Linked DNA regions of Danio rerio. Each later gene encodes a partner of the first gene's protein in a complex. Links are inferred from orthologs where the notes say so. Each region holds a gene or a part of one and is shown in the gene's direction. Other genes may lie near its edges.

Evidence for each region.
Region 2: taf4a (region 1) and taf11 share a complex: the UniProt entries of both Homo sapiens proteins name them as parts of the TFIID basal transcription factor complex. The link is inferred for Danio rerio from reciprocal best matches to the Homo sapiens genes TAF4 and TAF11.
Region 3: taf4a (region 1) and kat2a share a complex: the UniProt entries of both Homo sapiens proteins name them as parts of the TFTC-HAT complex. The link is inferred for Danio rerio from reciprocal best matches to the Homo sapiens genes TAF4 and KAT2A.
Region 4: taf4a (region 1) and taf6 share a complex: the UniProt entries of both Homo sapiens proteins name them as parts of the TFIID basal transcription factor complex. The link is inferred for Danio rerio from reciprocal best matches to the Homo sapiens genes TAF4 and TAF6.
Region 5: the proteins of taf4a (region 1) and taf12 are in contact, whole or in part, in a crystal structure (PDB 1H3O), measured with the Homo sapiens proteins. The link is inferred for Danio rerio from reciprocal best matches to the Homo sapiens genes TAF4 and TAF12. Residues at the interface, in NP_003176.2 of Homo sapiens: Phe872, Leu873, Leu874, Pro877, Leu878, Arg880, Arg881, Ile882, Ile885, Gly886, His889, Gly890, Ile891, Thr892, Glu893, Leu894, His895, Asp897, Val898, Tyr901, Val902, His904, Ala905, Thr906, Gln907, Gln908, Arg909, Leu910, Gln911, Leu913; in NP_001128690.1 of Homo sapiens: Val57, Leu58, Thr59, Lys62, Leu63, Leu66, Val67, Glu69, Val70, Glu74, Met83, Leu84, Ile87, Ala88, Asp89, Phe91, Ile92, Glu93, Val96, Thr97, Cys100, Ala103, Arg104, Ser108, Ser109, Thr110, Leu111, Glu112, Val113, Lys114.

The regions. Positions count from the first base shown.
Region 1 is NC_133186.1:23,088,461-23,094,778, reverse strand, and holds the start of taf4a (transcription initiation factor TFIID subunit 4), read left to right. Parts: upstream 1-2,193; 5' UTR 2,194-2,713; coding exon 2,714-3,410; intron 3,411-6,318. UniProt on the Homo sapiens protein: The TFIID basal transcription factor complex plays a major role in the initiation of RNA polymerase II (Pol II)-dependent transcription.
Region 2 is NC_133198.1:379,129-385,427, forward strand, and holds the start of taf11 (transcription initiation factor TFIID subunit 11), read left to right. Parts: upstream 1-2,106; 5' UTR 2,107-2,455; intron 2,456-3,494; 5' UTR 3,495-3,559; coding exon 3,560-3,718; intron 3,719-3,804; coding exon 3,805-3,950; intron 3,951-4,049; coding exon 4,050-4,137; intron 4,138-5,659; coding exon 5,660-5,756; intron 5,757-6,195; coding exon 6,196-6,299. UniProt on the Homo sapiens protein: The TFIID basal transcription factor complex plays a major role in the initiation of RNA polymerase II (Pol II)-dependent transcription.
Region 3 is NC_133178.1:16,336,888-16,342,684, forward strand, and holds part of kat2a (histone acetyltransferase KAT2A), read left to right. Parts: intron 1-944; coding exon 945-1,126; intron 1,127-2,264; coding exon 2,265-2,456; intron 2,457-2,544; coding exon 2,545-2,651; intron 2,652-5,797. UniProt on the Homo sapiens protein: Protein lysine acyltransferase that can act as a acetyltransferase, glutaryltransferase, succinyltransferase or malonyltransferase, depending on the context.
Region 4 is NC_133180.1:58,921,914-58,928,348, forward strand, and holds the start of taf6 (transcription initiation factor TFIID subunit 6), read left to right. Parts: upstream 1-2,282; 5' UTR 2,283-2,456; intron 2,457-6,435. UniProt on the Homo sapiens protein: The TFIID basal transcription factor complex plays a major role in the initiation of RNA polymerase II (Pol II)-dependent transcription.
Region 5 is NC_133191.1:38,665,295-38,671,248, reverse strand, and holds the end of taf12 (transcription initiation factor TFIID subunit 12), read left to right. Parts: intron 1-600; coding exon 601-678; intron 679-1,963; coding exon 1,964-2,078; intron 2,079-3,589; coding exon 3,590-3,678; intron 3,679-3,757; coding exon 3,758-3,793; 3' UTR 3,794-4,563; downstream 4,564-5,954. UniProt on the Homo sapiens protein: The TFIID basal transcription factor complex plays a major role in the initiation of RNA polymerase II (Pol II)-dependent transcription.

The DNA.
Region 1 (6,318 bases):
GGTGAAATCAAATTAGCATTAAATTAAACTGACCTAAAACATTAAGTTGGATCATGTACAAGTTAGGAATAAGTTGAAACATGATTAACTTAAAATAAACACAAAATCCTTGATATTGATCGTTTAAAAGCAAAACGTTTTGTTCACATTCAATTTGAGGTTTTTTTTATCATTAAATGTTTTGCCATAAGAAAATTATATTAATTAATTATGGTTTAGGTATAATCATGCTTTTATCTTCTCTTCCAAAATTCCTTAATAAAAGACAGCTTCAGTGTCCTTGAGTGGCCCAGCCAGAGCCCAGACCTCTAAATCCTATTGAATATCTGGAGAGATCTGAAAGTGACTGTACATCGTTGTTTCCCATCCAACCTGATAGAGCTTGAGAGGTACTGCAAAGAGGAATGGGCAAAAATTCCCAAAGACAGGTGTGCCAAGCTTGTAGCATCCCATTTAAAATTACTTGACGCTGGAATCACTCCTAAAGGTGCATTAACAAAGTACTGAGCAAAGGCTGTGAATACTTGTGTACATGTGATTTTTCAGGTATTTTATTTTTAATAAATTTGCAACAATTTCAAAAAATCTTTTTTTACATTGTCATTATGGGGTATTGTGTGTACATTTTTCAGGAAACAAATTAATTTAATCTATTTTGAAATATGGCTGTGACATAAAATAAAATGGAAAAAGTGAAGCGATAGGAATACTTTCCGGATGCACTGTATACTGTAAATACAAGAAGAACCAACTGCTCCAGAGCATTATGTTTATTTTTTCCATTCAATCTAGCAGATTACGCGATGACATAAACATTATTTAATTCAAATCAGAAATGAAAGAAACGTTGACCACACATCATCAGCGACCTTTATGAACATTGATCTGATCTGCCTTTTTTTTTATAAAACTCATACTTGTTTACTGATTCACTGGTGATATTGATTAGTGCAAAATTAATACCAATAAAATGCTTGTGTATCTAAATAGTTTTTTAATTATTAAAAAATTAAACTAATTAAATTAGTAAATTAAAGTAGTTGTAAAGTACACTGGTATAGATGTTAAGTGTTAAAGTTCTCATCCTTAATTGAAATGATTAGAAATAGTGAAAACAACCAGAAAAACACGACTAATATTTAGTGATGCTTGTTTAACGATGTCGTCTCACAGCAAGAAGGTCACTGGTTCGAGCCTCAGCTGGGTCAGTTGGGATTTCTGTGTGGGATTTGCATGCTTTCCCCATGTTAACGTTGGTATCCTCCAGGTGCTCTGGTTTTCCCTCACAAGTCCAAAGACATGTGGTATAGGTGAATTGGGTTAGCTAAATTGTCAGTAGGGTATAAGTGTGAATGAGAGAGAGTATGAATGTTTCCCAGTGATGGGTTTACAGCTGGAGGGGCATCCGCTGCGTGAAACATGCTGGATAAGTAGGTTTATTCCGCTGTGGCAACCACAGATAAATAAAGTTTTTTATATAAGTTTCATTAATTGCTATTTTAACAAAATGTTATCAAATTATAAAAAAAAAACACCTATAAAAATAAGGGAGGACTTTTGAGAGCAAATGTGTCAGCTCACATTATGTTAGAAAAAAATTAGGTACTATTGGTTCAAGAAAGAGCTTTCTATTGGTTCTTTCTGTCACTTCGTTGACTATTTAATCAGCCATATTTTATTTATAACGTGCTTGCAAAATACAGACTTTTTATCCCGATGCAACGCTGTGCACATTGACAGAAAAAGTGTAGCATAAGTTAAAGTGAAGATTGAGCGTGTGACCAGAAACCCTGTGAACTATGGCTGCAGTAGCACGCGTGCCCTCTATGGCCAGTCACGCTGGCAGAGGTGTGGCGCCTTTTCACGCTTTCAACACAGACGCTTCAAAACACGGGGCCATCTTGGGGGAAGACAGCCCGCTGTGAAGTTCACACAACAGCCTCTACATGCTTTATAACCCGCACATAACAGCTATAAGTGCCTCTAGACACAACCGAGAGCAGCGCCCGTATAATTCAACGGTTGTTTTTCAACTTCACAAGGCCCTTTTCTCGATGACAGACCGACTCTGACCGCGCTCCGCCAGAATCAACTGACGTTTCTCATGTCCCGCCTCCACGCACGGAGACCACCAATGGCGGCTCCACAAAACTTCAGCGTAATGACGTTTCCGCTTTTGCGCGCATGCGCAATGTCATTTTATCCAAAGCTCCTCACTGTTCACATCGAAGATGGCGGCAGGCTTTGACCTGCTATATAAGGATTTCTGTATTAAAAGAGTGGGAAAGAAACTTTTTACCGACACTTCAGGTTGTATTAGATTAGACGTTTCCACATCTTGCCATAATAAGTTTGAGGTAAGCGCCCAGGCAGCCGGAAAATCACCCCGCTGACTCCGGGAAAAGAGGCAATTCAACTAGCTAATGTTGACATTTTGCGAGCTCTTGTACATATGAACATAATGAAAGCAGTCGCTCTTCAAGTGTGTTAGATGATTATTTCTCCCAAGAGCATTGTTACTAATGGACTTGAGGTGACACGGGCGCTTGTCAAATCCTTATTGACATTGTGACACGAGACTCCCATTCACTCACGCTTGTTTCCTTCGAAAAGCAACTGGAGGGAAAAGCCGATGAAAACCCAAACTTCCTGAACTGATGTGCCAGAGGCACAGATGGAAGACAGCTAAGGCGATCCGGTCTTTCTTAATGCTATGGTAACTACTTTGATCGGGACGTCCACAGTGCAAACTTTGAACGGAGGCAATGCAATGGATCCGCACACTGAAAGCGGCACTCCAGTGTCCAGTGGTCCATCATCATCATCGTCAGACGACGCTTCAACTTCTGTCCCGGTTGTTAATAACGGGCCCGGGGTGGCGAAAGGACTCGGAAACGTCACGGTCGCCCCAAGCCCAAACACAGTGATACAGTCTTCTTTCGGGACTCCTCCAGCCGCAGCATCCAGTGCAGGACCCTTAGTGACAGTTGTCAGGCCATCTATGCAAACTGCTGGAGCAGGTTTAACTATTAACGGAAGTAATAATAATACCACCATTTCTGTAGCCAATGTAGCGACCCCGGGAATAACTACTACTTCAACTACTACTACTAGTTCTACTACTACAACGACCCCTCTTTTGTTGAACCAGACTTCTGCACCTGTCACCGCGAGCAAGTCCGAGTCTCCTAAAACTATCATCCAGCCCGCAGGCAGCATGACTGTCGGCCCTGCAGTGGCCAAGGGGGCTGTTTTGCAGGGGGTTGCGAGAACCGCAGCTCCGGCAACTGTTGCAGCAGCATCAGCATCATCTAGCCCGACCATCAGGGCCAGCGCGCCACAGGTGTTAGCGCCCCGACTCCCTCAGAGCAGCCCGGGCCAGAACATCCAGAATATCCAGCTACCTCCAGGTACCCCACGCTCACATTAGCACTTTCCCTGAATGTTGTCTGGAATGACATGATATGTGTATAGAGAAACTTACGAGGAGTGTTTTGGTTTCGTGTGAAGTTTGCTCTCTCCTGAAATACTTGCAAACTGAAAAAAATAAGTGCATAAAACAAAAGTATATCTTCATTAGAGTGTAATTAAAAGTTAGTTTATCTAAAACACACTCCGAACATGCCTAACTCGCTTTCTTCAATAGGAGCTGTCAGACATATTGACAGCTTCAGTCTCCATACATTCTTTGTGACTTTTCTTTCTATTAAGAGAGAAGTAAGTCCTGCAGACTTCCAACAACATGATTATTAGTAATATTTGGGTGAACTGTGTCTTTATAAGTCGATTGAAAGCAAATTGATGTTAAAGTCCTCTCCATGCTTTTTAGTCAAAAACTAACTATATTTTAATTTAAATTATTAATATTTACTCTGTGGCATATTTTTTAATTTGCTCTAATATATATCAATAATTCATAAAATAAGCTACTCTTCATTCATGTACATTTGTATCAATTCATGTACAAAGTCATCTGAGGTCACATCTCAGATTATACAAATTTGAGGGTCAGAGTTCACCAAAGTTCTTTCTTAAATGTGATTCCAGTCTTCAGCATTCATATACAATAATAGATGTAAATCTAACAAGAAGTGTAGTCTGACCATCCATTTGGGTAATTTTAGTCAGCACTGTTCAGTCTTCAGCCTTGTTCTTTTACTTTCTTACAAGTGCCTTGTCTGCACTCACGCTTATGTGTAGGTAATTACTTCACAACCACAAAAAAAGTATATACAGCTCTGGTATTTCACATATATAAGCAATTCCATGCAAATGTCAACCTTGCCATGAAAGAAATAAAGTTTTCACTTAAATAGAGAAACCGTTTTTACACTTTTTTTCAGTGTAAGCAAGTATTTAATAGTAATACTCAAACATGTCTCTGTCAGTGTTTCAAACTATTTTATTTGCTTTACTAAAGTCACACAATTGGCAATTTCACATTTGTCACATCCATAATTGAAAAGTGTCACATACATAACAAAGCCTTTTACTCATAAATGCAAAAATGTCAAATAAAATTAATCATTTTTGTTCTGTAGTGGGCCAACTCTTATTCTTTTGATTAGCATTATTTCTTTTGGGTTGTGCAGTTTAATTCACAGAATTTTTACAAAGTGTGCTGTGTACTGTAAACCTTTTTGGTCACATCCATAATGCATGTTTATTTTCCCATTTAAAATATAGAATATGTTTACAGATTGATATTTTTCTTATCCCATAACTAGGCATGGGCCGGTATAAGTATGACGATATAAAAAAAAAAAAACCTGGATAAAAATTTCACAGTTTCATGTTTTTTTTAAATGTCTTTGTGAAAAACAACAACTTTTTTCCCCATTAAGCACAATATATTTTATTTGACTTCTGCTGGTTTAATAGTTTTTTTTTTTTAAAAAACACAGATTTCTTTACAACTTGAAAAGGCATTTTTGGAGGGTCATTTTCTGCTAAAGATACTATTGCTCTAAGAAATTATAAAAAAATGTGTAAAAACACGTAAAAAAACTTATACATACCTTAGGAACAGTATAGCAGAAACATTTTCCAGTATTAAACCCTTGACTTTTTTAAACCGCGGTAAACTTTGAAACCGGTTATCGTCCCATGCCTACCCATAACTCTGTGGTTAGTTGTTTTGGAAAATATAAACAGTTGCAATATAATGTTACCGAATATGTTTTGATTGTTTTTATAATTATTTTTATACCTATAATTAAAAAAAAATGTTTTATAGGTTTTGGGTTTTTATTGCAAACATCGCATTCAACGTATCATATGTATGTTACACATTTAAGGTCTGAAAATATGGAATATTTTTCTTTCACCTATTGTAATTTTCTGCAAAAAATGTTTTAAATGATATCTTTAATTTTGAGGTTATGAGTATTTCATAAAATCAATTTAAAACCCAAATAAACATTTTAATAAAAACCTGCATCTATTAATGGTAAATCCAGAGACTTGAAAATTATTTTGAAAAGGTCTCTTAATTTTTTTCTACCTTGTTAATATAAATCATACACTCTGCATCAGGCCGATACGATATCTATTTTTTGCCACTCATTATAAAATGCCAAATGACAATATAATAGCATTGCAATGCAAGTTCACTCTTTTGAAAAACACATTATATTTCTTTGGATGGTGAAGGAAACCGGAGACATCGGGGAGAAACACGGGGAGAATATACAAACTCCTCATAGAAACACCGACCGGCCTGGTGGGACCAGGGCCGGCAGTGTTCTTGCTGTGGGGCTCACAGTGCTAACCACTGGGCCTCCGTGCTGCCTGATCAGTGGTAAAGGAGGAGAATAGGGGAGGAAGGGGGGTTTCTTCCAAGTGTAGATAAAATTAACTGAAAACTGTGGTTATTTATAGTAGCTTAGGACTCATATGATTGGAAGATAGTGATTAGCAAATACGAGACCGGCCGTGATAAATCATAAGCAAGTGATCCTCTCGAAATTAGTTTATGAACAAACTTCATTTAATTGAATTATTGAGAAATTAAATAATTAGGCATTTGAATCAGAATGTGAAACTGCATATCTTACAAAATAAAAATAAATGTTATCAAAAAAGTGCAAGGTAAAAAGTAACAGAGGCTGCGATATCTGCTACCAGATTGTTTCAGTTACTGTATCAGACACCCACATTAACATATACTAAAGTAATTTATAGTAAATACTATAGTGTTTTTTTAACCATATACTGACACTGACACCTCCACTAGAGATAGAGATGTTGCAGATGTTGGTTTTTAAGTAAGGGCGATAGGGTTGTAACAATATACCGGTATGACGGTTTACCACGATT
Region 2 (6,299 bases), on another chromosome or scaffold:
GCTCCTTGGTGACGTCGCGCGAGAATTATAATTATTATGCACAATCATTTAATTACACTAATGACGCATTTAGGGGATTGAAATATATTTATGTGTAAAGTCCAGAAGGGATACAGCTGCGGTTCTTACATCAATACAGCACCGTACAACAATCATCAATATTTCTACATCACTGTGAGGGGGGGATGTTAATAAAATACAACTAAATGGATAATTTAATAATTAAATGAATAATACTCGGTATAATTACTGTTTTACATTATTTTGGAGGGTTGGGGTAATGGTAGATGTTAATAAAATACAATTGAATGGGTAATTTAATAAATAATAGGTGTAATGCTCGGTATAATTATTGTTTTACATTACTGTGAGGGTTGGTGTAGGGGTGGACATTAATAAAGACAATTAATAAACAATTTAATAAATAATATCACTAATTCTGAGCCATATATCCCTTCAAGCTTTATGTGGAGTATCCTGATATTAGCACAAGAAGAATCTGTGACTGTTAATCGGGGATTTGTGGAATAATTACAGCCCTTTTCAGGAGTTTCTTTAAACTGAATCACTATAATGATGTGCACTTTTTAATATTATTGCATATCTTTTTCTACTCAAGATAATAATACTGTAATTATGTTTATTTTAGTGTTTTATTTACTTTTGTTTCATCTATATTTTATTGTTAATTTTAAACTGATTCGTCTGTTTGAATGTGATGTCCATTTACTGATTTATTTATTATTCATTCATTCTTTTATGTTCCTTTGCCTTAGTCACTTTATTCATCAGGGGTCGCCACAGCGGAATGAACCACCAATGATTCCAGCATATGTTTTACACAACGGATGCCTTTACAGCTGCAACCCATCACTGGAAATTATCCATACACACTCATTCACACACATTTTTTAATAAAAATAACCCTGGGTATAATTACTGTTTACACAATATTGTATACATTATATCAGTTCCCCTATAGCGCATGTGTTTGGACTGTGGGGGAAACCGGAGCACCCGGAGGAAACCCACACCAACACGGGGAGAACATGCAAACTCCACACAGAAACACCAACTGACCCAGCCGAGACTCAAACCAGAGACCTTTTTGCTGTGAGGCCACAGTTCGTATGAATTATGCGTATTATTATTGTTATTAATAGTGGCTTGAAAATTAGGTTTCAAGTAGTCAAAATCATTTTAATCAATTTTAAAATAAAAGAAACAATTTGACTTATGTAACCTGACCATGCTAAAATAATCAGTGCAAATATCTATTATTTGCATTGTATATATTAAATTATATTTATTATTAAAATGAAACAAATAAGTAATTAATATTTGATTAAAATAAATAAATAAATGGGCAATATATTCAAACAAACAAATCAGTGAAAAATAAAAAAATACATTTACTCAAGTTAATAAAATAAAAAAGTAAACAAATACTCCTTATGGACATTTTAGGTACATATCGTTTAGTTGAAATGGGATAATTTGAAATAACATCATTAATTAGCCTATTATTATTATTATTATTTAAATATAAGCATAAAATTTTAACTATATGCAAGGGGTACATTTAAATAATTAAATGTGATTTAATCATTTGTGAATATCTATCAAATAAATATATAATTATGAATAATTAAAGGGTTTCTGCAATTAAACTAAAAGCTCGAGTGAATTTTGATGGATTAAATCAGTTATTAGTCCCTGTTTGTTTGTTTGTTTGTTTGTTTGTTTGTTTGTTTGTTTGTTTGTTTGTTTGTTTGTTTGTTTGTTTGTAACTGTAAGCACAGTGTTTATGTTTCAACTATTTATAATGTTTAAAGTGGCTGACAATAATAAATATTCGTATTAATAGGAATTAATCTGCCTTGTTTTTGAACTGTGCAGAGCTGCTTCATTGGGCCTACTACACTTCTGCATTTCAGTACTGCTCCTTATGGTGGTTCTTGAAGAGACATTTTTTCTGAGGTGGTCCTTGATGAAAGAAATCTGAGAACCGCTGCTTTAATGTATAGTATTGTGCGCCACCAAGTGTTTGACGTGGCTGTGCACGCTTGTGCGGACTCTTATTTTGTAGTTTAACCGGATATGCTCGTGTTTACTTTGTCGGTCTGAGGCGCTCGTCAGAGAACACTCGTTGGATTTTTGTGTTTTTAAACATTATTTTCAACGCGGTTGTCGGTCTTAGGTATGTTTTGATTTTTTTTATGAATTCACGGTTTTATTTTGTCTAACAAGTGTTAAATCCGGCCCCAAATACACATAGCATCGTAAGTTACGATGATCGTTAAGTTACCGTTTTCACCTAAAGTAAACTATCATTACATTGAAGATGACCGAGTGTAACGTTAATACAGCTAATGCACATTAGATAGAGCCCTGTTTAATCGCGTTGTTTACGATCAATAACAATGATATATGGGGACTTAATGGATATTTAGAGGTAAAGTAGGTTTTATATCCGCACACTGGTGCATTTAGCAGTCTCTATATTGTTTAGCATGTTACTCTGAATATTGGATCTGAATTAGCATGCAAGTATGACTTGTAAACAACATTAACACTGTCTAATTGACTGTGAACAATGCTGTACTTTGATAGTCATTTGCTGCTAATATCATTTCCCTATTTACAATACTTTTCTGACATTATATTGAGGAGAATGTCTGAATATCAGAATATACAACCAACTTCACCTCTATATGTTTTATAGAAGACACAGACTAAATTATAAACTGTAATGACAGTATTGACATTGTAAGCAACAGTTCACCCTAAAATTACAATTCTGTCATCATTTACTCTTGCTTTACTTGTTTTAAACCTTTATGAGTTTCTTTCTTCTGTTGAACACAAAAGAAGATGTTTTGAAGAATGCTAGAAGCCGGTAACCGCTGACTTCTGTAGGGTTTGTTTTTCCTATTATAAGTCAATGGTTGCCTGTTTACACATTTTTTCCCCTTAAATGTTCCTTAAATCTTTTTCTTAATTTTGTAAACCAACAACAAATTGCTCTCTCTTTTCAAAGATTGTATATTATATAATTAAATATTAAAATCAAATAAATAATCATTTGATTAGAATAATTAATTAAATACATGTGCATTAAAATTATATATGTATATATATATATATATATATATATATATATATATATATATATATAAACATTTTTTAAAAATTGTAATGAATGGTTGCTCTCTTTTTTTGTAATATGACAATTTGTTCTACATAATTGCTTTTTGTAATCTTTGTAATTTTTTTTTACATTCAATAGTATTCATCCAGAGTAATTCTTACAAAAAAAAAAAAATATATATATATATATATATATATATATATATATTGCAATCATGAAACACAAGCAAGGCTTCTTGAGATATTTTAGATATTTGGACTAGAAACAGACACTCTGAGTTAGAACAGTGTTATTGCAGTGCTCAGTTGTAATTGGATCAGGGACTCCCGCTCATGTGTTGCAGATAAACACACTACAGCAGTGTCCATTATTTCCACATTCCCTTTCCCTGATCCATCAGCTGAAATCATGGCAGACCCGGCCCGTGTGAAACCTGAAGCGGGCACATCGGTGGACAGACCCAAACCGGGCGAGGGGTCCAGTGAGGGTCCGGAGGGCAGCAGTAAGAGCTCTGACCCTGCTGCGGGACAGACTGCTGTAAAAGAGGAGGGCAAGACGCTCAGTCAGGTCTCTGCCTCTTCATTCTGCATCCTCAATGAATTCAGTTTCATTCTCATGCAAATAAATCAACCATGCATCACTGTGTTCCTCAGAGGCCTGCTGAAGATGCTGGTGATGAAGAGGAGGAGGGATCTTCATCTCTGCATCCTCCTCCTGCCAAAAAGCTGAAAGTGGAGCCGCACGACAAGAAGAAGGAGAAACGCCACAAAGTGGATGAAGACGAAATCCAGAAGATGCAGTGAGCTGTGTGTGTGTGTGTGTGTGTGTGTGTGTGTTGTGTGTGTGTGTGTGTAGCTGTAAACTGATAATAACACTAATAGACGTGTTTGTGTTTCAGAGTTTTAGTATCATCGTTCTCTGAAGAGCAGCTGAACCGCTATGAGATGTACAGGCGCTCGGCGTTCCCTAAGGCAGCTATTAAAAGAGTGAGTCTTTAAATTAAAAACAGGTCTTAAAAAGAATTCAGAGTTGATCAATCTGTTTAGAGAAAGTATTAAAGTCTTTTACAGCTGGTAAATATTGTGTCTGTTTGGATTATTCAGTGTGTGGCTGTCTGCCTAAGTTTAATTTGTGAATATTGGGCAACATGGTGTTGCAGTGGGTAGCATAATCGCCTCACAGTAAGAAGGTCACTGGTTTGAGTCTTAGCTGGGTCAGTTGGTGTTTCTGTGTGGAGTTTGCATGTTCTCCCCGTGTTGGCGTGGGTTTCCTCCAGGTGCTCCAGTCCAAACACATGCGCTATAGGGGAACTGATTGTAGTGTATGCGTGTGTGTGTGTGTGAATGAGTGTGTATGGATGTTTCCCAGTGATGGGTTGCTGAATACATATGCTGAAAAAGTTGGCGGTTCATTCCGCTGTGGCGAGCCCTGATTAATAAAGGGACAAAGCTGAAAAGAAAATGGCAGCATTGTTATTCCTGCAAGAAGGTCTCTGGTTTGAGTCTCGGCTGGTTCAGTTGGGGCTTCTGTGTGGAGTTTGCATGTTCTCCCGGCATTCGTGTGGGTTTTCTTCAGGTGCTCCGGTTTCCCCCACAGTCCAAACACACGCGCTATAGGGGAATTGGGTGGGCTAAATTGTATGTAATGTGAATGAGTGTGTAAGAGTGTTTCCCAGATATGGGTTGCAGCTGGAAGGGCATCCGCTGCGTAAAACATATGCTGGATAAGTTGTCGGTTCATTCCACTGTGGCGACCCCGGATTAATAAAGAGACTAAGCTGAAAAGAAACTGAATGTTATTCCTGCTGGTCTACAGGCGCCCCCTGCTGGAAGTCCATCAATTCTTTCATATTGAGTGTGAGTGATGCATTAGTTTAGGCGCAGGCGTGTCATGTAGCATCATTTCACTGAAACAGATCATCATTTTTAATGATTCAGGCTGTTTTTATATCATTAACTGCCCACACTAATGTTGATTAAATCTTTGTGTGGATGATGATGAAAGAACAGTTGTAGCCTGTGATGGAGCAAATAAACAGATCACTCCCACCGTTCTGAATTATCTTGCATTGAAAAGCGAGTTAGCACCAGCTAAGACTCTTTAGTTATGCGTAACTGCACAGTCTGTGTTTGGTAACTATACTGTACGCTAAAATGTGCTCAATATTACTGGTTAGAACGAATCAATTCTTCAATCGAGAAGCGTTTTCTAGACAAGAATCAAACATTTTCAGAAATAATGAGTCAAAATGAAGTGAGTTTTTCATTAAAACAAGCAGAGTAATCTTGTGTCAAAAGGCAAAACAAGATTATTTCGCTCACTCCTTTGATTTGCAGACTGTTTTGCTTGTTTTAACTTCATTTTGACTCGTTTGTTTGTACAAGACGTGAGTTGAATGCACTATATACACCATTATACCTCAAAATAGCACAGAATAGTGCATGAGCGTGTGATTATCGATGCATCTTCTTTGTCTTGGAGTTAAACAGATTTCTTTCTGTCCTCCAGCTGATTCAGTCCATCACCGGATCATCGGTCTCTCAAAACGTGGTCATCGCCATGTCCGGAATCGCCAAAGTGTTTGCTGGAGAGATTGTTGAAGAAGGTTAGTGACACGCTGCTCTGCAGACACTCTTATTTGTCTTGTTTCTAGTCCAAAAGCTAAAGCTCAAACTCTTCACCTCAATCTGTGTTCAGTAAATGTGCTGTAAGATATAATGTGGTCAGTTCAAACTAACCATCAAGACTTTCAGACAGTGTGAGACTGATAACGGCAGCCAGAGGAGAGAATACTGTCAGATTACCTGTCCTGCATTACACACACCTCACACACACACGCGGGAGTTCAGTTACTGATGCGCAGATGACATAACGCATAGAGAAACACATATAAATGTGCACACCTTTACAAATATTCTTAATATTTAAAACGTTCACGTATTTAAGATGCTGATGAGCGTTAAACACATCATTACAGTGCTGTGAAGAGCTCCATGACGCTCTGCTGATCGTCTCCGTGATGCATTTCTCTTGCTTGTCTTCAGCTCTGGATGTGTGTGAGAAGTGGGGGGACACTCCACCTCTGCAGCCCAAACACATGAGGGAAGCCGTGCGGAGACTGAAGAGCCGAGAGCAGATTCCCAGCTCC
Region 3 (5,797 bases), on another chromosome or scaffold:
TGGGTTGCGGCTGGAAGGGCATCCGCTGCGTAAAAACTTGCTGGAAAAGTTGGCGGTTCATTCCGCTGTGGCGACCCCAGATTAAAAAAGGGACTAAGCCGACAAGAAAATGAATGAAGGAAAATTTGGCATTCAGTGGCGGGAACAGGCTTCCATAGGGGGCACATTAATAGCATGCAAAACCAATTAAAAAAACCCATATAAAAAAAGGCATCTATCACTGCAAAAAAACACATTTGGTGTGATCAGGGCCAGTTGCTAGTGTTTTTCTTTTGGTCTCACTAAAATTGGAATTAAGAATTGTGCAATATGTTAGAATGCTACGTGGCATCATTTATAAAAATGTTAATAAAGGTTCAAAATAAGAATAATTTTGTTTTACTGGGCCAGTAAAAATTTTGTTTGGGCAAGTGAAAATATGAACAACTGTCCTAACTGGACAATATTTAATAAAGAGCCATGTTTGCCATTTTAACTTGGCAAATGCAGAAACGAAGACATGCATAAATGTTGTCATTTAAATTTATATTGTAGCAATATTTCTCCATTAAATATCGGTCATTGTTAAGGTATCATATCAAATTTAGAAATTCCTGTATTGTGGCTCCACTAGTGTGTTGTATATAAGGAAGCTGGCCAGTTCACAAGTAAAGCCTTCTGCTGATTCCAGTCTTTAAAATATATAGATAGTTCACCTAAAAACGAACATTTCCTAACCATTACTTGCACTAAAGTGGTTTTAAACTTTGATTAATTTCATTCTGCAGTTAAAAAAGGTTCAGAATTTTTCAAGACTTCTATAGGTAGGAACTAAAAAAAATACTATGGAAGTCAATTATTTTTTCAGATTGTCTTCCTCGGTGTTTAAATATCTTATTAATAATATTCATATTAATCTCATTAATCTAATATGTTCTCTTAAAACCTGTCTTTGTTTGTTTCAGGGGGTGTTGAACTTTGTTCAGTATAAGTTCAGTCATTTGGCTCCTAAAGAGAGGCAGACCATGTATGAGCTCAGTAAGATGTTTCTCCTCTGTCTGAACTACTGGAAGCTGGAGACACCGTCACAGTTTCGGCAGAGGGCTCAGAAAGAGGACGCAGCGGCATACAAAGTCGATTATACTAGGTGCTTGTGTTACTGTGTTCTATTCTAAATGCACGTTTGTAGGATGTGTAAATATAAACACACACACACACACGTAAGGTATAGAACAGAGTGTGATCTCATTTCCTCTATGTTGTATGTATTTACTATGTGAAAATGTTTAGGATTTATTTCATATGAAGTCATTTACTGTTATTACATTATCAAGTACATCTAATGTGTGACCAAAAAAGATGGTCAGTTTACTATTTTGAAATTAGGTTTGCAAATGTACAGTGGGTACGGAAAGTATTCAGACCCCCTTAAGTCACAGCAAACGGTCTTAATACTTAGGACAATGTGATATTATGTTTTCCTTTTTTGATAAATCTACAAAAATGTCAGTAATTCTGTGTTTTCTTGTCAATATGGAGTACTGTGTTTACATTAATGAGGGAAAATTTACTTAAATGATTTTAGCAAATGGCTGCAATATAACAAAGAGTGAAAAATTTAAGGCCGTCTGAATAATTTCCTTACCCATTGTACATCTATCACAACAAATGTCAAACTGAGTTTTCTTTTCCTTTTGCAAAAATTAATGTACACATTTTTAAAAAATAATCAATAATTTAGAACAGTTAAATTGTTTATATTGTTTTATAATGATTTACTCCCCAAACTTATTGCAGCTTCCGACCCAGAATATTATATTCTTTTGAAATATAAAAAAAATACAGAAATATCTATTTAATGCATAAAAATATGTTGTTTTGAAGTTTATTCATCAGAAAATCCCAAAAGAAAAGTTTGTTTCCACAGAAATATTAAGCTTTATTAATTACATAAAGCTTTAACATTTAATAACAGTGTTAGTTAAGCACAACATAAGCATATTGAAAGGAAATTTTATGTGGATCATGTTACACTGAAGGCAGCTGAAAATTTACAACATAGGAATAAGTTCAATTGTAAATAAAATATAGGGAATTAGAAAACAATTTCCATTTGTAATGCTTTTTCATAATATTTATGTATTTACCATCTGTGAGGATTAGAGACTTTCAAACACAATAAAATATCAAATTTGAGTCTATCTTAATCTGAATATACAGAGTCATTAATCTAATTACTGTTCATTTGTTTTATTACTATTATTTCTGTGTGTGTGTGTTTTCAGGTGGCTGTGTTACTGTCACGTTCCTCAGAGCAATGACAGCTTGCCACGGTATGAGACCTGTCAGGTGTTCGGCCGCAGTTTGCTGAAGTCCATCTTCACTGTCACCCGCAGACAGTTACTGGAGAAGTTCAGAGTGGAGAAAGACAAACTGCCGCCAGAGAAACGCACCCTCATCCTCACACATTTTCCAAAGTAAGACACGTTACCATGTTATCAATACAAACTTCAAAACTATCACTCTCTCATATCCTGAGTGTGTGTGTGTGTGTGTTTGTGTTAGGTTTCTTTCCATGTTGGAAGAGGAAATCTATGGAGAAAACTCTCCCATCTGGGAGGCAGACTTCACCATGCCAGCCTCAGAGGGCACACAACTGGGCCATCAAACAGGTGTGTGTTTTTATGGAGCCAGATCAGTTTCAAAAATAATACATTTACAAAATTAATTTAAAACTTGCACAGCACAATTCACATTCACAAAATCCAATTTGTAAATTCAAAGCACAATTCACAAATACTACTCATAAAGATAAATATAACTCGCATTCATAAAGATAAATATAACTCGCAAATCATAAATATTTTTTACAGGATGAATTGGATTTATCTGTTAATAAATCGTGTTTTAAATTTGAATACACAAATTGCATTTGTGTATTTTTGAATCGTATTCGAATTACGAATTAGATTAGTGAATTTACGAATCATGCTTTGAACTTATGAACTGGTTTTTGTGTAATTACAAATCATGCTTTGAACTTATGAACTGGATTTGTGTGTTTACAAATCGTGTTTTGAACTTACGATATGGATTTGTGTATTTTTGAATCGTCCTTTGAACTTATGAACTGGATTTGTGTATTTACGAATCGTGTTTTGAACTTACGATATGGATTTGTGTATTTTTGAATCGTGCTTTGAACTTACAAATTGGATTTGTGTATTTTGCAAATCGTGCTTTGAACTTATGAGTTGGATTTGCGTATTTATTAATCGTTTCAAATGTATGAACAGGATTTGGGTGTATACGAATTGTTTTGTATTTTGAATCGGATTTATGTATTTAGAACAAAAAATTTGTGTTTTGATCTTGCGAATTAGATTTTATAAATGTGACTTTTGTTGTGGAAGTATGAATAATATTTTGTAAATATATTATTTTTGAAATTTGATCTGGCTCTATAGTTTTTGGTGGTTCCAGGGTAAAAGTATTGTAATCGATTGTAATTATCGGCAGTATTTTTTGAGACTTTTTTCAACATTCATGCCAAAGTGATTTTTCACTGGCAATGAAATGAGTGAATGTGCAAAATTACTCTTGACGTTACACACCACAAAAAAAAAAAAAAAACTCCAGTAAACATAGTGTCGCTGCACAATGACGCTCGCTTATTACACAGAAGAAGATAGCACCCTCATGCTTTTAACTGGTCTTTATTGCACAGGGTTTTCCACTTCTGTTTTCCCCCCTTCACTACAACACAAATACCTGTTTAAAAAAGTTACAAGCTAAGAAAGAAAATGAAGTGGAATGAAACTCACTATTGAATCCTTCTTGATAATTCCTGTGTGCTCTTCTACACCTTTTTTTACTTGAGTGCTACCAAGTCAGGTTTTTACTGTAACTACAGCAGCTCAGGACATGGAACAAAAGTGCCAATATCATTCAGGGCTCGAAATTGCGACCATTTTGGTCGCATATGCGCCCGAAAATTAATCTATGCGACCTCATAATATATATGGGAGCATTAGTGCGACTGCAGATAATGGTTGTAGTGCGACCTGTTTTGATTTTTTGTAAAAACGTGCTGAATCGCTCTTCCCTGCCGCTATATTGGTTCATATTAGCTGTCAATCACTCAAGGTATTCCGCTGTCAGATGACATGGAAGGAGCTTTTATGACCACAGGAAATGCAAACGGCTGAAGAGTGAAAACTTAACTTAAAGCACACAGGTTTGCAAACCCCACCTAAAGTTGAGGCGCAGATGAGAGCGATCATGACACGTCACGTGGTGAGTAATGATCCACCAGCTGAGATCAATCGAGTACGCGCTTCTTAGAGAAGGCGCCCGAATCTCCATGCTTTGCATTCACTGCGTGTTCAGCGCAAATGTCCGCTAAAAGTCAAATCTAATACTGTACATATCATCGCCAAAGAAGCTCGCCTTTACTAAGTACAAAACAGCAGTACAAAATAAATATTTCTTACTGCAATGCTTCATTTTTGTTTAATGCAAACTATACAATTATTTTTCATAAAGTAACAGACTTTTTATAGCAGATAATTCATGCACATTCAAGGCAGTATCATAATGAGAAATGGAATTCATTGTTACTATTGTCATTTTTTATCATCATTAATATTCTATGGCCTAATTATTAGACATTCATTTTGGAATTATTGCACACAAATATCAATGTCTTTGCAGCATTAGTTAGATAGTTGTTTCTGGTTTTTGTCAGTCCTATTAATGTTGTTTTAAAGTACAATAAATCCCTTAAAAAACAATTTGCAGCTGTGCTCATTCATTTTTGGTGGGTGCTCCTAAATTTTTTCTGGTGCTCCTAAAAATTTTTTGGTGCTCCTAAATATTTGAAGTTGGGAGCACCGGTGCTACCAAGTAAAAAAGTTAATTTCGAGCCCTGTCATTGGCTCAGGTTTTTTTCTAATTATAAAAAATAATAATAATTTATAATGCCTGATGTTTTTTGCTTTGAGATGCACGCTCACATTATCGACCTTTATTTCAGTCACAAAGTGTTAAATGTTCACAATAAACCGCCCAATATGCACAAGTCTTTAAAGCAGGGGTGTCAAAAATACAGCCAACAAAACCATCGAATCAGTCAGAAGCCGCCTTTCCACTGCACACGACATTTGGAAACAACTGTCGGAATACACCCCCTTGTGGCAGTCGCACAGTATTTTCAGTTCTGACTTGGACTATGGGAGAGAAGCTGTTCTCGCAGTGTCCGAAATAATAAGGGAGTGGAAAAGCAAGAGCTTATATTCTCTGTGCATTCACCATGGTTGAATGAATGAATGAATGAATACTAGAAACTCATACACCGCTAAAAATATTGGAGGGAATGTGGAGACAACATAAAAATATATATTTTTATTACTTAATTACTTACATTTATCAACAGAATTTTATTTTTATTTTTTAATATACACTTAATATACACATAGTCTCAGGAGTTCAAATAAGTCAACGGATCCGCATCTCAATTCGGATCTGATTATTCCGCACAGAGATACCGAGATAATCTGAACTCCACGCAGCTTCCGGACTACTCTCCATTGGAAATGAATGACTTCCAGTCTGTCGCTTGTCATTTGTCGTGTGCAGTGGAAAGGAGGCTATACAGTTATATAAAAAAATAATAAACATAAAAAGCAGTATTATGAGAACAAAACAGTCTTCACTACAATATTTTATTTGAGACTCAACAGACAGCTTAAAATGGAAAAAAATTAATTATCTTAGATTATTCATATGTTAAAGTATCGGATATACCTAAACTATTTTG
Region 4 (6,435 bases), on another chromosome or scaffold:
AAGAATACTGATTAATTTTAGTAACACTACAATAACTATATATGACATACTATTAATGTGTATGCAGTATAATGCTGTGATTTGTAACACTACAATACAGTAATTAACTGTACACAGTTTCCAGTTAGTTACCACTGCTGCTCTATTACAGTAATTAACTGGCAACACTGTTGCCAGCTACTCAATGTATCGGTTCAGTTACAGTAAAAAACTGGCAACACTGTTGTCAGCCACTCACTGTAATGGTTCAGTTGCAGTAAATAACTGGCAACACTGTTGCCAGCCACTCACTGTAATGGTTCAATTACAGTAAATAACTGGCAACACTGTTGCCAGCCACTCACTGTAATGGTTCAGTTACAGTAATTAACTGGCAACACTGTTGCCAGTTACTTACTGTAACCGAACTTTTACAGTGAGTGGCTGGCAACAGTGTAGCCAGTATTCTACTGTAAAAAAAACCCGATAAGGTCTAACAGTGTACTAATTTTTGTTCATATAGCTATACGTTACCATTTATATATTATATATACTTTTATATATATATTATATATATATATATATATATATATATATATATATATATATATATATATATATATATATATATATATATATATATAAGTTTGCATTGTATGCATTCAAATTGTTTATCACTTATTGTTTCATAATATTTATTGTTACCATTTTTTACAAAGAAAAAAATTAAATATGCTAAATATGGGAAAGTCAGGATCGCAATTTGTAGCAACAAATAACAAAAAATGTTAAATAATAATGACTTGGTAATTTGTTATACCTTAAGTTATAACTCTTAAATCATAAATCAAGTTAAAAAATATATTTTTATATGTTTTGCATAGGTCCAGATAATATGTAAAATGGCATGAAATGCTTTTTTTTTCTTTTCATTTTCCATTCCTCACTTTTCTGAGGATTAAGAATTTTTAGATATTTGGACTAAAACCAAATCAGAAACTCTTAAGTAAGAAAAGGATTTTTTGCAGAGTATTTATACACATTTTTTTTTTTTTTAGTGAGCATTAAGAATTTTATGCAAGGATTCAGCTTCATTTAAAGACAACTGGCAATCTCTAGAGATATTGTTGTCAATAAATAAATGTAAAAAAAATCTAATGTTGTCTAGGTTTTTGATTGTCAGGTAGCTAAATGGTCCTTGAAATTTTAGAAAGTAGTAAATTGTTTGTCTAAACGTTCTGCAGCTGTCTGGTAGTCAATACCACTGCATTCTTATCACAGCACATCATTACGCCATATTACACTGTATTGTACGGTTATAATTGTGTTATTGTCAAAATGCAACTTTATATATAAACAATACAACAAATTTCATCTCTCTATATAAAAGCGTATAACTAGGCTACAATTAACCATTACACTTTCCAACTATTTGTGTTTTGAATTTTTCTTATTAGATTAATCTAAATTAATTTGCCAGTGGGCTTTTGCATAGCTGAAATTGTTTGGTGAGTGTATCAGTTCTGCATATTCTCTAGTGAGTTTATAACTCACTTTCTGATAAATTAACTTAGCGTTCTTATTCAGCGTAATCTAATGAAAAAAAAAAAAAAATATATATATATATATATATATATATATATATATATATATATATATATATATATATATATATATATATATGTGTGTGTGTGTGTGTGTGTGTGTGTGTGTGTGTGTGTGTGTGTGTGTGTGTATTTATGAACAGGACATTTAATAATCTGGGAGAGTAGACTTCAAATGTATTGTTTGGCCATGTATCTTCCATCCCCCCTACTGGACGCATTAGGAACAACAGCGGCGTAAAACTGTGGCGTGTAAAATTGCCTGAGCCGTAAAACTGCCTAGATCCAAGTCTGCAGATGTCCCATATAGGGGTCTGCAGCTTCCCCTTACTCGCCGCTTCACCCAACCCAACAGCAGGGGCACTGTCTGGTCTGTCTGTGCGCGCTAGTCTGAGCGTGCAGTTGGGTCTCCGGGCCTGCAGCTTCCCCTTACTCCACTCGGGCGAGGCGGTGTGGTGAGAAATCGAGTCCCCCTGCAATCGATTCCGAGGCAGTCTATGTCATGAAAGATGCATAAAAATGAACCTATATACACTGCTTCTTCTGCATTAAATATTTGCTGAATAATTTGTAAAACGTTCATTTATAACTATTCTTTTATAAAGTGTGTTTAAAACATGACGCTAATATGAGCTTGTAAAAATATACGTGCGATAACGTCACATTTGTTTTAGGACCTTTCAGCAGATTCAAAATGGCGAATTTTCGGAAAAATGGTTCGGAACTAAATGGGCTGTGCAAAGTATTAACAAACCAAACAAACAAATAAAAACACAAAATTCGTATTATATAATACAGAGGATTTACCCGTTTTGTTTTATTGTTTTCAAAGCGGCAGCTTTAAATAGACATAGCTGCAACCTCCTTTTGAAGGTAAGAAAGACATGCTGTTCACTTTTGCTTTTGTGCACGTTTATTACAGAGAAGCATGATCCAGTCGTACATTAATAGCCTTTCGACACACACACACACACACACACACACACACACACACACACACACACATATATATATATATATATATATATATATATATATATATATATATATATATATATAAACAACGCAGGTTTATGTAGCGGTAACGCACAGACAACGTAGTTTATTTACTTCTTTACTTCTGAGTATTTGATCAGTAACGTTAATTACATGGTCTCAAATAAGCAATGCAAACTCATATTGATTCTAGTAGAAATACTAAACTATTTTATAATTTAGAGTTTGAGAATTTATAACAGGGCAACGCTGTGGCGCAGTAGCAAGAAGGTCGATGGTTCGAGCCTTGGCTGGTTAAGTTGGCATTTCTGTGTGTAGTTTGCATGTTCTCCCCGTGTTCGCATGGATTTCCTCCGGGTGCTCCGGTTTCCCCCACAAATCAGGTGAAATGGGTAAAGTAAAATTTTCTGTAGTGTATGTGTTTGAATGATAGTGTGGGTGTTTCCCAGTGATGGGTTGTTGCCTGAAAGGGCATCAGCTGCGTAAAACATGTGCTGAATAAATTCGTGGTTTAATCCGCTGTGGCGACCCCTTAATAATAAAGGGACTAAGCCGAAAAGAAAGTAAATAAATGACTGATCTTATAATACATAGTAATAATTGGACATTTTATAGAGTTATTATAGTACTTTTACGATTCCTAGTAGGATGCAAAGCTGTTCTCTGTTAAGAAGTGTAGCGTTACGCAAGTTTGGGAAGTTTTTCTTTTTTTTTTTTTTTTTTACAAAATACATGCTTTAAATAGTTATCAATATTATACATTTTTATTTAGCAACTTACTCGAAATACTTAAGAATATGCATATTTTAAGCTAATTAATACAAATAAATAGGATTCCATGCAGTTTTATGCTGCATTCCAAGCTTTAAAACGAATCCAAATACACAGACACAACTATTCTAAAAATAGCCAAAACAACCATCATAATTCTTCAAGTTATAAAAAATAATTGGGTAATTTCTACAGAAACATCTATTTTTAGCATGGCAATTCAGACAAGATGTTTAAACATTTATTTCTTTTTTAACATTTAAACTTAGACCACATTATTCAATTTCTTTTTACAGAAGGATATCCAGGACAATTTTTAATATGTGGATGCATAAATTTTGACCCAATCCAAATGTAATAGCAAGTTGCACATTTGCAATTGCATTTCCACTTTTGTGAACGCGCAGTGACTGCCACATTTCAAATAAAAAAAGAAAAGTCCATTTGAAAAATGCATTTCCCATGTCTTACGAGCTATGGGCCTGACATATCTGAACAGCTATATTAATTGCTTCACTTTCTTTTTTATTAAGCTAGAAACAAGAAAAAAAATGACAACATAAAATATTTGCTTTATCACAAACTGTAGTAGCATTATTGGTAATAAATATTGAGGCAACAGAGGCAACGTATATAAGCTAGCTTGAAAAATTGTTTATTAAATATAGATTGTATAATTTGAAAACATGCAGTAAAATCATAATGGTTTTACTTTGCAAAATTATGCTACATACAGTACATGTAAATCACACTACAAGATGGCTAGTAGATGGAGCTTACAGATCAGTAATAATCCCATCATTATGAAATTTGCTGAATCACAAGTATATTGAATTAAGCCCATTTATACATAACGTTTAGATGTTTGATAACTGCAAATAATGTCAGCATATATTTTGCTAATATTTTCAGATCTCTTAAAACAAACTACAAAAAATCGTTGAAACATTATTAGGCTACTATGAAACTTAAACCCGATTATTAATTAATTAATTCATTCATTCATTCATTCATTCATTCATTTATTCATAGTCTTTTCGGCTTAATCCGGGGTTGCCACAGCAGAATGAACTGCCAACTTATCCAGCACAATTTTACGCAGCGGATGCCTTTTAGGCTGTAACCCATCTCTGGGTAAAGCCTGGTTTAAACTTCTGCGTTAAGTGACCGGCGTGACCCACGGCGCATGCAACGGGTGTAGCTGTGCATTTATACTTCTACGCGCTGTCTCTTTTGATCTGAATTAACACTTCCGAAACGCTAGTTGGCAGTAAGGTGTTTATGTTCCTCTGTGTTGAAATTCTTCTCTGCTGTTTTGCTTTTCCTGAACACTTCCTGGATGTACAAGTGGCTTAAACTTGCTCATTTTGAGGCATCTTTTGTGCAGTCTGGGATTTGAGAAAGAGATGCGCGGGCTTTAAAGTGTCACGAAACACCAAAACACGTATTTTGAGCTGTTGACAGTCGTATATGTGTCCCACACTGCTAAAAACACTATTAGGACACCTATATTTCACCAAAAAGTGTAAATTGGTTGTTTTTGCGTTATTTTAAGCAAATTCGTACTTCCGGTTTGAAACGAATTTTTGAAGCTGCGTCACGGTCATGACATAATAGCGTTGTATTCCAGCGTGCAGACTGGGCGTCTGTGCCAGAGTGTGTCTTGTTACGTCTTACAGTGTGATGCATTAATGCATGAGTAAAGCTTGGTTCAAACCAATCAGCGCGCTCTATTGTGGAACTTTATTAATATTCATTACTGTCGTAGTGTTCAGACGGCAGAGACGCCACGTTGTGTTGGCAAAACAAGCGTGAAGTGTTGCTTTTATATCTTGCTGCCGTTAAGTTTTGTTTTCATTTTCTCTCTGTGAGAGCTCATCTGGATCACGCGTGGATTAACAGTGTACGCGACGCTCGACAACAATAACTTGCGTGTCTAAGGAGGATTATTGTTTACCTGAGAGCTGTTCTCATCTGCAAACGCTGAGATCCGGATTCGCTTGTAGTATTCTCTTCATAAAGACGCGGCTCTAGTTGCTGGGGATTGTCCTGTCTCTACAGATTTGGTAAGTGAGCGACCAGTGCTCTTTGTTTATTCAGTTTGTTCGTATCGAACTAAGTTAACTATTGCACCGAGTGCAAACATGTTAGCACCACAACCAAACTTTACCCTCGTGTAGGGTTTTTACGGCATTTTGTGACCAGAATAACACACGCGGCTTTCTGACGCTACCTGCCGTGTGCATCTAAGTTTCTGGAAAATGCTGAGTTTTTTTTCTCTCATTCGCCGTGCGGTATCAAACATTGCATGAAAAATACACGCTTAGAGCAGTTCCTCGAATCAAATATCTCGTTTGTCGCAAGAGGGCATGAATGAATTCCCTGAATGAAAGAGCCAAATTGCAGTTAAAGTCCACCATTTAATAATTCGACTACAGATGTCCATGTAGGGTAAATACCATCACTTTCTCCTGTGTGTGAGTATTTTGACTAAAACTCGCGCGTGCCCAAATAGACACTCCCACACCCTGCCACTTTAGTTCCTCAGACACTCCCCCCTAAACAGAGCTGGACACGCCCACTTTGCTGACTTTTTCCAAAGTAGAGGTGTGAAAACACCCTGCTGAAACGAGGGGGTTTTATGGCCCTTTAAGTCAGAACTATTAAATTCCCTGGCTTTCACTGACTAAAAACTTAATTTACATTATATCTAAAGAAATAGACTATTTATAGAAATAGACTATAGAATTTACAGACTGTTGTTGTGCTGTAATAATATTAAGAATATAAATATAATATTAATACTTTTCGGGATTTTTTTTAAACACAAATTGAGCCTCTCAAATTATTTTAAACATGTTTGATGCTGTTCAGGATTTTAAGTCGAGCTGATCACTGCTCTTATAACCTGCCCTCCAACCTACAGCCAATGAAAATATGACAACATAAAAATTTATTTGCTTATCGAAGGCTGTAATAAACTCATTTGCAATTAAATTAAAGGCAACCACTGCAGTAATGGTGATCCACATTGTAGTGGCCATTAGCATGCTTGAGTAATAGTTTATTTAAATTTTATTTATTA
Region 5 (5,954 bases), on another chromosome or scaffold:
ATTTAGATTTTTAACAGTTTAGAATAATTTTATTTATTTATATACATATATACTTTTTATTTTGCTTTGAAACATGATTAAATATAGGCCAGTATGGCTTTAAAACTATGGAAAATAATATAAAAATTAGAATTAAATTTAAATTCCATTTTAATTATATTTATATTTAAATTATATTAATGTGTGGTAAATGTTAAGATTCAAATTGTATTTTTTTAGTTAAAATTTTGAGTCTTGGTCCGTTTTATATTAAAATAAAAAATCATATAAAACCAAGCAATCATAATGTTATATGATATTATAATATAACAATATATGTGGGAAAGAAGATCTTTGGTTCTCTGTTAGTTTGGTCTTCACAGAAATAAAACAAGCTGTCATTTACAGGTAAAATGTATATTAAGCATGTTAATTTGTTTATGCACTTAATTTCCCTCATTTAAAAAAAAAAAACCTGTTTTCAACACCTGAAAGTAGATCAAATAACAAAGATCAGACAAATAATCAATATTTGCGATAGACCTATATGTGAAAATAGACTTTTTTAAGCCAATTTAAAAATATATTGACATTTATGTATTTTTATTGTCCTCCCTACAGGTGCTCAGTAAGAAGAAGCTGCAGGACCTTGTTCGAGAAATTGACCCTAATGAGCAACTTGATGAGGATGTGGAAGAAGTACGTGTGTCTTATTATTGATGATGTTCAAAAGTGTTCTCACACATTCATTGTTGACTAGTCAGTTTGTTGCCCAAATTACCATTTTAAACACACTTGAATAATAAATAGTTGAGTTTGTGAGAAACAAATGGGATTTTAATTGCAATGATATATAAAACACTTAGGGAAATAATCAGTTGATGTACAGTTGCAATCAGAATTATTATCCCCCCTGTTGAATTTTGTTTTTCTTTTTTAAATATTTCTCAAATTATGTTTAACAGAGCAAGGACATTTACACAGTATGTCTGATAATATTATTTTCTTTTGGAGAAAGTCTTATTTGTTTTATTTCGGCAAGAGTAAAAGTAGTTTTAATTTTTAAACACCATTTTAAGGTCAAAATTATTAGCCCCTTTAAGCTATATATTTATAGTATACAGAACAACCCATCATTATAGAACAACCTGCCTAATTACTCTAACCTGCCTAGTTAACTTAAATAATCTAGTTAGGCCTTTAAATGTCACTAAGCTCTATAGAAGTATCTTGAAAAATATCTAGTAAAATATTATTTACTGACATCATGGCAAAGATAAAATAAATCAGTTATTAGAAATGACTTATTACAACTAATATGTTTAGAAATCTGTTGAAAAAAACTGCTCTCTGATAATAATTCCGGATTCAGGGGGTTTAATCATTCTGATTGCAACTGTATATTAGACCTGAAATATCTGTTTTTGTCAGTTCAAGAATTTAAACTATACTATATTTGTACTATAATGCATTATAGTGTGTGTGTGTGTGTGTGTGTGTGTGTGTGTGTGTGTGTGTGTGTGTGTGTGTGTGTGTGTGTGTGTGTGTGTGTGTGTGTGTGTGTGTGTGTTTTTTTACTATATTTGTACTATAATTCATTATATTTTTTATGAAGAATGCATTGATTTTGTCAAATTCAAATAACAATAACACTATTACAACAACAACAACAACATCAAAAAATAAATAAGTGTTTTTTTAAATGCTGCTTTGTTTATCAAATGATGCATAAAAAATTAAAGATGATAAAACTAACATACTTGAGCACAGACTCAACAAATTCAGAATGATTTCTGAAGGATGAAAAAAATGAAGATTAGTTGAGTAATGCCATCACAGGAATAAATGACATTTTTACATTTTATAATTATTGTTATTATTTCATTACTTTTATTAGCGATTACAGCCTAAATGAAAAAGAACAGTAGAAGGATATGCTAACATTACTGTTACTACAGTGTTGTCTGTTGACCATTTGTTTCAGATGCTGTTGCAGATAGCTGATGACTTCATTGAGAGCGTGGTGACTGCTGCATGCCAACTGGCCCGACACAGGAAGTCAAGCACTCTTGAAGTAAAAGACGTCCAGCTACACCTTGGTGAGGATCTTAAATGATCATTTTATCCATGGACTTGAGTGCTTCATTTGAATACATTTGAATAAGTACACTTTTAAAAGGGTAATTCACTCAAAAATGGAAATGTATTCCTTATTTACACTAAAAGAGATATTTTAACAAAAAGATGAAAACCAGTGAAACAGAGGCCAGCAAAGTGAAGTGCTATGCTGGTTCAATGGGTTGGGTGCAGTAGGACCGGTGGGCTACAGATGGGGGCTCGTCCAGGATGGGAGTGAGGTTTAAGGGGCTGACTGTAACGAAGGCCAGCTAGTGAAGTGCTACGCTGGTAAACCTCACTCTTCTGACCTATAAAGGTGCTTTATCAACAGACGCTAGAGGTCATGGTCTTTAGCCTCCTTGTTAGAGCAACCGACTCCCACACAAAGAATCGCTGGTTAGATCCCAGCTCAGAGCGAGTTGGGTGCTATAAGACTGGTGGGTTACACTTGGGGGCTCGTCCGGGATGGAAGTGAGGTTTAGGGGGTGAGTGTAACGAAGGCCAGCTAGCAAAGTGCTAAGCAGGTAAACCATATTCCTCTGAACCTCTAAAGGTGCTCTAAGGACAGACGCTAGAGGTCATGGTCTCCTTTTTAGAGCAACCAACTCCCATACAAAGAATCGCCAGTTCGATCTCAGCTCAGAGCAGGTTGGGCGCAGTAGGACTGGTGGGTTACATGTGTAACCATTGACTTCCATAGTAAGAGAAATGCCTAATATGATTGTCAGTGGTTAGAGTTTTCAGACTTTCTTCAAAATATCTCCTTTTTTGTTCAACAAAAGAAAGAAAGTAATAAATGTTTGGGAACACTTGAGAAGAGTTTTTTATGCAAACTATGTCTTTAAGGGTATTTTATAGTCGTTTAATAAGTGACATGTTTTTCTTCTTATTTTAATACCGTTTGAATAATTAAACTTAAAGGGATAGTTCACCCAAAATGGAAATTTATTCACTGTTTACACTAAAGAAGATATTTTGAAGAAAGCTGAAATCGCTAACTTCCATAGTAAGAGAAATAAATACAATTTAAGTCAATGGTTACAGGTATCCAACTTTCTTCAAAAGATTTCTTTTTGTGTTCAGCAAAATCAAGAAAGTCATAAATGTTTGGGACCACTTGAGAATAAATAAATAAATGATGACAGAATTTTCAGTCTTGAGCAGACTATCCCTTTAAGGGTATTTCATAGTGATTAATGAGTGACATGTTTTTCCTCTTATCTTAATACCGATTGAATAATTAAACTTAAAGGAATAGTTCACCCAAAAATAGAAATTTATTTACTATTTACACTAAATAAGATATTTTGAAGAAAGCTAAAATCGCTTCAGTTTTAGGCAAACTATCCCTTTAAGGCTGTTTTATAGTTTGAGTTAGATGTTTTTCTTCTCATTTAAATACCATTCAAATGAATTATCCCACATAGTTTGAATGTCTATTTTTAAGAACTGTCCTCTTGTATAGTGAGTATACTAAATTTTCAATTTCCAGAACGACAGTGGAACATGTGGATTCCTGGTTTTGGCTCAGATGAGATCCGACCGTATAAGAAGGCTTGCACCACAGAAGCTCACAAACAGGTCAGCCATGCACTAAAACCGATCACCTAAAGATGATTTTGAACAATCACTTCACTAAATATGATTTCTGTTCTTTCAGAGAATGGCACTGATCCGCAAAACAACCAAAAAGTAGCAAGATTGGAATCACCAACAAACTTTATTTCCCTGCAAGTTTTGGAAAGTGGAGAGGGTTTGAACCTATACATGTCATGGTAATCAAAGGGGCAAAAAAAATGCGATGTACTGTTTGCAGTACAGTTCTGTTGACATTTCGCGTTTTGGAAGGTGCACAGAAATTATTGTAATTTGTCTGTACAGTTCACTTTGCGTTAAAACCACCACGTGAACGTTTTGTTTTGGGCACCTTGGTGCTATCCTGGGGTTTTATTATATAATAGAATCCCTCAAAGCTCTGCTAAAAACATAAATTGTTTTATTATATTACCCACAATCCACATTTTCCTTTCATATATCTCTTGTATAGACTCTTTATGCAGTCATAGATCTTTTGCTGAGCTGGCATTAGAAGCTATGCACATTTACAATCATCATGTGTCTGATTTGTTTATAGTGTTTGCTGTTCTAGAATTCGTCAATTAAGTAATATCTAGTGCTATAGAGGAATCCCTAGCGTGGTACTTTTTGAAGGTAAACCAGAGAGATGATTACCACTTCCCTGTGTAATTAATTGCATTGGAACTAGTGAAATAATCCAAATCTTAATTGGTTTAGAGAGGGATATATATGTGTGATGGTGCGCAAACCCCTTCTGCTGTGGGTTTGCGGGCAGGTTTAAACCTTTTTGTGGAGTTTTTTTTTGGTCATGTATCACAGTGTTTTACAGTCTCCTGTTTTTCATGAATAAAAAAAAAAACTAATTGTGATTTATTCACACCAAAGTCAGTCAGGTTGTGTATGACATTATTACAGAAATGACTGGAAAAAAATAAAAATAAAAATAAAATAAAATATATATATATATATATATATATATATATATATATATATATATATATATATATATATATATATATATATATATATATATATATATTTCTACAAACCTTTACAAGTTAGTATACCTTTAATAAATCTTCAGGATAAGCTCTTAAAGGTGCAGTATGTAAGTTTGACACCCAGTGGGGTGAATTAGGTAGTGCGCTCCTGGTTCAAAACATACGCAAGGGCAGGTTGCCAGATTGATGACACCAACAGCAATGTGCCTGACTGTCGAGCCTAAAGGCTTACTTAAACTGTTCTAAATAAAAGCAACTGCACTCGATACAAGGAGTATTTTCAGGGCTTGACGTTGACTTTTTTGATCACCAGCTACTGTGGCTAGTAATTTTCCTACGTTACTAGCCACTTGCCATTTTCGCTAGCCACATTTTTGCTGGTGGGAAAATATATTTTATATGCATAAATTTGACTTTGACATGCTAAAATTATTTGATTTAGACTTTTTGTTATGTCCACATGCCTCCTTGTTCATTTCACTTTTTTGTTGTTGTGTATGAACTCATGATGTGCATGAGCAAATAAGTTATGGCTTCATAGTGTCGCATTGCAATTAGTTTTTATTTCACATGACTTTTCTGGGCTCAACACTAAGGATTTACCAAATTTATCTCTGACCACACCAAAAATAAATAATTATTTCATAGCCATTAATTTTAGATAATATGTCAAAACAAGCAAAATATAGCTATATACATGCACTTTTTGATTCAACAAAACTTTTCTTAAAAAAACAAAAAAACAATTGACATTTTAAAAAGAATTATTGGCATGTATCTAAAACTATCTGTGGCAATGAAAGGATGATCATACTCACAAGGTTAACATTAGATTCATTAATAATTTGTTCAATGAATGGTTAAAGCGAAAGCAGCAACTGCTGCTGCTTGCAAAAAGACATCTGGAGCTCTTGAAAGCAGCAGGACTGTGGGTATTTGATCATTGTTTTTTGTCTAATTCAGTGGTTCTCAAACTGGTACACGTACCACTAGTGGTCCAAGCAACATTTTCAGGTTTTGATGAATAGGATACTACAGGTTAATACTTTACGATCAAGTACAGGAGTTCTTTTTATTTTATTATTTTTTTTTACTTTTTAAGAACAGTAGCCTACCATTTTTAAGGAACTTTTAAACGCACATTTTAATTTAAATGTTGACATTTTACAGTTTGTTCGTTTTTTTTTTTTTTTTTTACATATAAGCACAGTACAGTTAATGTTCAAACTATTGATAATGTTTAAAGTGGCTGATAGTAATAAATATAATTAATAATTG